Linked DNA regions of Drosophila melanogaster. The protein of the gene in region 2 interacts with the protein of the main gene of each other region in a pairwise test. Each region holds a gene or a part of one and is shown on either strand. Other genes may lie near its edges.

Region 1 (3,731 bases), on a different chromosome or scaffold from region 2:
TTTGGGAAATGAATGCAATGCGGAAAGAGGTTCCTGGCTGGGTGGATACCAACAACTGTCAGCTTTGCTCCAGGCCCTTCTTCTGGAACTTCCGCTCAATGATGGATCAAAAGCAGCTGGGTGAGATAAATAGCTTACACTTGAGTTACTCTTTGTTTTACAAGTAATTTCTGACTGTCAGGAATACGACAGCATCATTGTCGCCACTGCGGCAAAGCCGTGTGCGACAACTGTTCCACCAATCGCATTAACATACCCATAATGGGCTTCGAGTTTGATGTGCGTACCTGTGATCCGTGCTACAAACAACTTCAGACAGTCGAGCGCCCCTCGCTGGCTTCATTCAATGACGCCAAGCATTCGATCGTCTACATGGACCTGGACGAGGACAGAAAGCGCCTGTTGACAGTGGGCCAGGACAGGCTCATCAAGATCTGGGATCTCTCCAACATCTGGGCATAAAACATCCTGTACGCACACGCACGTACCAAAGGTATAATCATTCACGAGGCGTTTCGGTCTTAACTGGAACACCCAATTAACGAACGATGTGGCTGGCAACGACCAAATCCAGTCCCTGCTGCTTAGGTTCTCATATAATTGATGTAAAGCAATAATCATTGTATGTACGTATGCTTACATTCAACACATAAATACACGAATCCATCGATTAAGTGGTGTTTTCTAAATGAGTTTTTATTAGATTGTACTTTATACTTAATAGCCACCCCTGCCCGGTGGTGGTGCTCCACGGATCATGCTGGGCGGCGGTCCGCGCATCGGTGGCGGAGCACCGCGTCCCATGTTTCCTGGCATCGAGGGCATGCCGCCGGGAATCATGCCCGGTGGCGGTGCACCCATCATCGGTGCTCGTGGCACTCCTCGTCCCATCGGAGCCATGTGCTGTTGGGCGGGTCCGCCCACACCTCTCACGGGACCCTGGAGACCCGCTGGCACGGCGGACAAGTTGATAGGCATTCCGCGTCCGGCCACGCGACCGATTCCCGGACCAGGAGCTGCTCCCGGAATGGGAACTCGGGGCAGGCCCTCCTCTGGCGGCGGTGGTCCCTCCACCGTCAGTGAAACTATGTTCTCGCCGCGCAGCAATACAAAGCCCAGCACGCGCTTCTCCTCGCGCTCGGGCACCTTGGAATTCTTCGAGCGAATCTTCCGGAACTCCTCGCAGTCGCCGAGGATCAAGTTCATGTGTTTGTCGAAGGCTTTGAAGGTACCGATGAAGGTACGCGAGTCCTGCAGCACGATTCGCACCCGATAATTCAGGTGCTGAATCATTTTGTTGTTCTTGCCGATCGTCTGAAATAAAGGAATTCAAAGGATTTAATTGTGAAATACAATAGCATGCATAAAAGTCGCGCCATCTTTTGTAAACCATTTCGACCCTTTAAAAAAGCCGGTATTTATAAAAATTTTAATAAACCACAGAGTTTGAAATAGCAAATCTCAGCGTAATATCGAAGATCACTAAAAATCATAATTTTAAACAAATATAAAATAGTTAATTAGCCAAAACAAATTGTTTTATTTATTCGCATGCATGTTTGTATGTATGTATGCCTATGTAAATACGAAATCGCAACCGCGAAAGTAAGAATCTATGAATTAATACAACTAAACAAAACTTAACCATTGCAGTCAGATGCTTAAAACAGTGTTTTTACTTACCATTTTATTTGATTTCTATGTTAATTCTATCGCTTGTAAATAAAATACAGATGCCGGAACCTCACCACGGCTTTTTTCGATAGGCATGAAGAATAAATCGAGTGGCGTGTGCGGCGGTCAGCATTTTCTGGTGTCTTTCAATCGAGCCTATCGAATATAAATTTTTTATTGATAATCCACATGATTTTTTAAACAAACATTCGACTATCCCTAGCAAAAGAAGAGAAAAAAATTAAATTTTTTTTAAATCTTATGATAAAAAACGAAAAAAGAAAAAATTTGAATCAGTATGTTTTTTCTCAATTTTTTTCGTTAGAGATGGTCGAATTTTCATTAAAAAAATCATGTGGCGGCACTTATCGATATCGATAGGCAGTGGCCATGTTATCAAACTTATTCTTATTCATCAGCCACGTCATTGTTTATGCCGACATTCTGACAAGTTTTTTTCCGAAGCGGCAAAGCCCTCACATCTCTACTCGTTGGCAAATTAGGCGAAAAGTCATTTTGGTAACGTATGCAGCTGTTGAAACACTGAATGCCGCCATTATTGCTATAGTATACACTCCCATTTTCATATAGGCGTGCGTTCCGTGACGCAGCCGCAGCGAAAGGAAGTAGAACAATCAAACAGCCAACCGGGCAGCCAAGTAGCCAAGTCGGCGGATTAGATCACGATGAATATCTTTCGCTTTGCTGGGGATCTGTCGCATGTGTTTGCCATCATAATACTGCTGCTGAAGATATGGAAGACCCGCTCGTGCGCCGGAATATCGGGCAAGTCGCAGATCCTGTTCGCCGTGGTCTATCTGACGCGCTACCTGGATCTGTTCACCACCTACGTGAGCCTGTACAACTCGGTGATGAAGGTGTTGTTCCTGGCCACGTCCGGTGCCACCGTGTATTTGATGTACGTGAAGTTTAAGGCCACCTATGACCACAATCACGATTCGTTCCGCATCGAATTCCTGCTGGTGCCGTGCGCCCTGCTCTCGCTGGTGATCAATCATGAGTTTACCGTGATGGAAGTGCTGTGGACATTCTCGATCTATTTGGAATCGGTGGCCATTCTGCCGCAGCTGTTCCTAGTGAGCAGAACCGGCGAGGCCGAGTCCATCACCAGCCACTACCTCTTCGCCCTGGGATCGTACCGTGCACTCTACTTGCTCAACTGGGTCTACCGGTACATGGTCGAGTCGCACTACGACCTTATCGCGATCTTCGCCGGAGTTGTCCAGACCGTCTTGTACTGCGACTTCTTCTACTTATACATTACCAAAGTTCTTAAGGGCAAGAAGCTCCAGCTGCCGGCATAAGCGGATGATGGATAAGTGCATAGATGTGGGACATTTGTGTTTTGTCGGCACACATCATCAATCGACGTCAGAGTAAACAAGCGAGCGATCCACGGCCCGTTTGACAACGCGTATTTCGTTCATATTATACAAAAGATACATAATCGAGGGGAGCGCCTAAGTTGTAATTATTTAATGAGAAATAAACCGAAAATCGAAAGTACACTATAAACTATGCAATACCGACATCGTACATTGAAAATGTAACAAATGTATTAATCTCCGTTTTCCGAACTGCACTCACAAATTTTAGAATCCAAAAATATTAAAAAAAAAAATCATTACTCCAGTAAGAGATAACGTTAATTGACAAAATCGAAACAAATGTTTTCTCTTTTGCGCGGAGGCTTATCTGATTCGCAATAGTATCACAGAAGAGGTCATAGATTTCTTTGTTTAATTAAGAATTTAAAGTTATGCATTAAATAGCTCTTAAGTCGACTGTATCCTAAAAATCCGAGTAAAGTTAAGTCTTATTGTGTGGCTAATAGTAAAGTAAATGATGAGCGATGTCAACATATAATACACATAATATTCTGAAAAATAGGCCGCAGGATCGTAGGAACTCCATGTGCTGTTTTGCACAACTTCTATTGAATTCCGAAAAGATATATTAAATTTCTGCAACACCCTCGTTTCCCCTTGCACGCTTCGCAGTCATGCCAGATGCAAATGGAAAATTTAATTTATATG
Region 2 (4,277 bases):
TGAGCGAACTCTGCTGGCGAGATGTATTTATTCTACACCAAAGGTCTCGCCTTTGAAGGGCATGGGTCTTAACAATATTATAAGTAGTTAATAATACTTTGCAATGGAATTTTAGGCAATGGAGCACCGACCGCAGTGCCTTGCATTGGACCCGATGAGCTGCCGCCGCCGTATCAGCAGAGTACCAACACCGGAGGCGTCCCGATGGTCACCTGTCGGGTATGTCAACACATGATTGACATCACCACGAAGCGGGAGCAGCACGTGGTCAAGTGCACCCACTGCAATGAGGCTACTGTGAGTAATTCTAAGCAGATTCTTTGAATCCAATTGTAACTTAATACGCTTTTGGCTATCAACAGCCCATTCGGAACGCTCCAGCGGGCAAGAAGTATGTTCGCTGCCCATGCAACTGTTTGTTAATCTGCAAGAGCTCGTCGCAGCGAATCGCTTGTCCAAGGCCCAATTGCAAGAGGATCATCAACCTGGCCCCAAGTCCCGTCACCCCGCCCGTGCCAACCATGCCGGGCATGTGCCGCGTCACTTGTGGCCACTGTTCGGACACGTTTTTGGTGAGTTATTAATCCAAATCACAGCAGCAGGAGTCTTGTAACGCTTGCTCTTACAGTTCAACACGTATCACAACGCCTTGGCCCGGTGTCCACACTGCAGGAAGGTCTCATCGGTGGGCTCGCGCTTTGCCAACAGCCGCGCCGTGATGTTCGCCATCGTGGCGCTGGTGTTCCTCATCACAGGCATCGCTGTAACTATCGGCACATACTCGATTGCTTCGGTAAGCCAAATCAATTTAAAATCAAGCTGAAGTATGTGATTTTCTAAACCCATATGTGTGTTTCCTTTTGCATTTTTCCAGGATCATGGTGGCATGTACTTCCTCTACGTGGCGCTGTTCGTGATTTCGGGTTGCATGCTGGCCAGGTCCGCCTACTATTTCCGCCTTAAAGTGAGCGCCATCGATGGGCCAATGTAAAGCTAAAGCACGGGGCCAGTAGCAAGGAAGAAAGTGCATTGTTTTATTTTTATATATATATATTATTCATATATATCATTCCTTTTGATATTAAATTTAAAACTAAACACAAGCAGCCAATTTGCAGACGGAACATATGAACATTTCTCCAGCAGTTCAGCTACATACAAAAATTCTTCGTTTCGAGCAAAACTAATAGCAAACCTAGCTAAATTTACGAAAGAAGGTCTCCCCGTTGAAGAGCATAATTAGGATATTAAGGCCGTAACTAACTAAACACTATACTAAAAGCGAATATTTCAAGGGTCGCCGTGCAGCTACCATTCAAGTGCTAAAAGTAAAAAAGGAAAACCCCGATCTGTGTTGGCAGTCATTAGTTATTAGACCAGCGACCGATCAATCCACAGTGCATCTCATTTTTAGAATCGTCAGGATCCATTTTAAAGATTGTACAGTTTCGTTGTTTAAGTGTCCGATTTGTTATCCGTTCGTGCCTGTCCTGCAAGATATTTCGGTATTCATACATTACGTATTCGTTGATACGCTTTTGAGTTTTGTGTTGCCTAAAATTTAACCAATGCACTTTTTCTCAGTTCTCGCCAAAGCGGAGGAAAGCGTTTTGTTGCCTGGCGTTAGAAACAATTTGAAGGGTATGCTAATAGTGCTAATGAAGGTACATACACATACGCGCATATACAATACCATAAATACATAATTATAATGCAAATAAACAAAGCAACATTTCTTGAACAACAGAGAACAAGCAAACGCTCATGCAGATATAAAGAAAATTAATTTAGACAGCAACTGCTAAACTGCGAAATTGCATATATATATATGATTAAAAGGAACGGTTTACTTTTGAAATATATATATATATATACAACAACATTTATATTTAGTACATTATAAATTAGCATACATACACTGTAAATAAAAAGAAATAAAACCACAAGCACCACCAACTTTTTGGCGACAAAATGACAAGGCTATGAAAGTAGAATAGAGTGCCTTGAACTTGACATCGGACATCGGCTGGGATTTTCGATTTCGATTACATTTTTAAAGTTTTTAAGTTCCTTGGCCAAGATGTCATCATTGGCTCCTTGCTTTACTGTGGGCTCTATTGTGCGCTGCAAGACTTGTTTTGGCGACAACATTTCGGGCGAGGTAAAACTAAATATTATTTATTATTTTTATGATTATGTAATGCTTTCAATTTCCCAGGTTGTGGCCTTCGATCTGGGCGTGAAAATGCTGATAATGAAGTGTCCATCAAGCAATGGCGGTGGCGACGAACAGACCACTTGCAATGTGACCATTGTGAACCTATCCCTGTGCATGGACATTGAAATAGTAAAGGAAGCAATTCCGCCGGCTGAAGTTCAACAGCCAGAACCGATTGATTTGCCCATGGTAGAAGCACTCTCTATATAGATATTTAAAAGAAACCCCATTCAACCATTTGCAATTGCAGATCCGAGAACGATACCGATACGCAACCGAACATCGTACGCTCTCCTGCCGGAGCTATCATCCCAATGCCTCGCCCTTTGGTCAAGCTCTGTTCAGACTGTTAGTCAAGCGATTCGGTGATCCCGCTATCATCTGGCAGAACAAAGGCGACCAAGTGGCGATCAATATACTCCGTCAGGTGGTCATCGATGCGCCGTATGCCACGGAGAATATCCGATACCTCGATTGGAATCCCAAGCTGGCGATATGCGTCCAAGAGGTCGTTCAAAACTTTTGCAGTAAACAATTCTAGAACGATGGCCCGTGCCCATGGCAACAGTTGTCTAGATAGCATCCGATTCTCTGTACGTTTTGTTTATCAACAAAACAATTCAAAATACACATACATATAGCCATGACACCCACACAGAATACTGCTCTTTATCTGCCAGGGGAAACCATTCTCGTTTGTACAAATTCGATTTAATACACTACACCACAACACCCAACACACATAATACACGATGGCCGATGATGAAGATAAACCAAAGAAGCACACGCTGGACAGCCTGTTCTTGGTGTATTCCAACTTCCAGGTATGATGAATGACCCGGTTAATTGAAGAGTAATTTTCATCTAAATGATGCCAGGTCATACCCACCGACATCGAGAACGAGTACTTTGACAGCATACTCCTCTCGCAGTTGGACGCCTGGCTAGAGCAGGCCAAGCTCATGCCCAATCCCATAACTCGAACTCAGACCGGTTTAATATACATGCGATACAAGTGAGTAACTACATCAAATCTACATATCATTCTTAATCAAATACATGTTTCAGGAAATGGCGTTTGGAGTACGAAGACTTTCTCGAGGTCCTAAATAACTTGGCATCCGATAACAATCTGGCTATAGATGAAATGAAGCAAATAATGATCGATGCTGGCGTCCCGAATGGTGCTGATGTAGTTATAGTCGTCAAGTAGATTGAATCATCACTGCATTTTATTTATATGCATACAAAAAGTCGGACAACAAATTATTAATAGTAACAATTGCATACAAGAGTAACTTTGATTAATTCACAAAAATTATAGTAAAATATAAAAGCATCCAACAAAAAGAGCCTCTAAACCCGATTGGTTAATTTCAGTTAGTTAAACACTTATTTTGACATAGAGGGTGCCTAATTAAGGTATGTTTTGAGATTACTGATCTGAAAACTAAATACAAAATATATGCGTATTACATTTTTTGATGTGATTCAATAAATTGACTGATATTCTGAAATTCTGCTTAAGCTTATAAATATTCGATGAGTTGGTTGGCTTGTTCGCTTCGCGTTACTTTCCTGATAATAATAACAACGTTTGTTTGGGTAACAGAGTTTGGCTGGACTTATTTCTAGCACCTGGGCAAATATGTGGACTGCTCGGAGCTAACGATGTTACAAAAATACATGCTTATTCATTCCGTATATCTAATAAATATTGTCGATGCGTTCTAATGGCTTTCCGAGCGTCTCATAGCGATTGTAAGGTAATAATGCACTGTTTGTACTAGTAAATTTCCGGCTCTTGACGAGGTGCATGGAGTGGATTTGCTATTGATGCTTGCTCTTAGTCATCCCTCCAGTTGCGCAGCATGGTAAAAAAAAATCTATAGCGTTAATTTTTTGAATTGTGTATGCGGGATTTATACTGTTTACCGTGCATACTCGTAGCAACCTCGTGCCGTTCCAAGGCCACTCCAATTTCGCCACATGATTTGTATTTCCGGATATGGTCATATAGATAAGATTCTCTTGTTGGCTCAGTGAGTGTATCTCTTTG

What was found.
Region 1: the proteins of Hez (region 2) and SmB interact in a two-hybrid assay, tested with the Drosophila melanogaster proteins (one study listed by BioGRID).

Annotation. Positions count from the first base shown.
Region 1 is NT_033779.5:10,424,811-10,428,541, forward strand, and holds SmB (small ribonucleoprotein particle protein SmB), read right to left. Parts: upstream 1,818-3,731; 5' UTR 1,687-1,817; coding exon 1,684-1,686; intron 1,315-1,683; coding exon 718-1,314; 3' UTR 673-717; downstream 1-672. Other genes in the region: Wdfy2 (WD repeat and FYVE domain containing 2), read left to right, coding at 1-120, 182-462; KdelR (KDEL receptor), read left to right, coding at 2,361-2,999. UniProt on the Drosophila melanogaster protein: Plays a role in pre-mRNA splicing as a core component of the spliceosomal U1, U2, U4 and U5 small nuclear ribonucleoproteins (snRNPs), the building blocks of the spliceosome. Involved in germline establishment and development.
Region 2 is NT_037436.4:9,892,474-9,896,750, reverse strand, and holds Hez (hezron), read left to right. Parts: upstream 1-2,007; 5' UTR 2,008-2,080; coding exon 2,081-2,161; intron 2,162-2,218; coding exon 2,219-2,407; intron 2,408-2,468; coding exon 2,469-2,759; 3' UTR 2,760-2,970; coding exon of another isoform or gene 2,971-3,042; intron 3,043-3,096; coding exon of another isoform or gene 3,097-3,233; intron 3,234-3,286; coding exon of another isoform or gene 3,287-3,431; 3' UTR 3,432-3,563; downstream 3,564-4,277. Other genes in the region: CG6707 (uncharacterized protein), read left to right, coding at 116-297, 363-572, 629-793, 875-991; CG6709 (uncharacterized protein), read left to right, coding at 2,971-3,042, 3,097-3,233, 3,287-3,431. UniProt on the Drosophila melanogaster protein: May have an accessory function in the survival motor neuron (SMN) complex.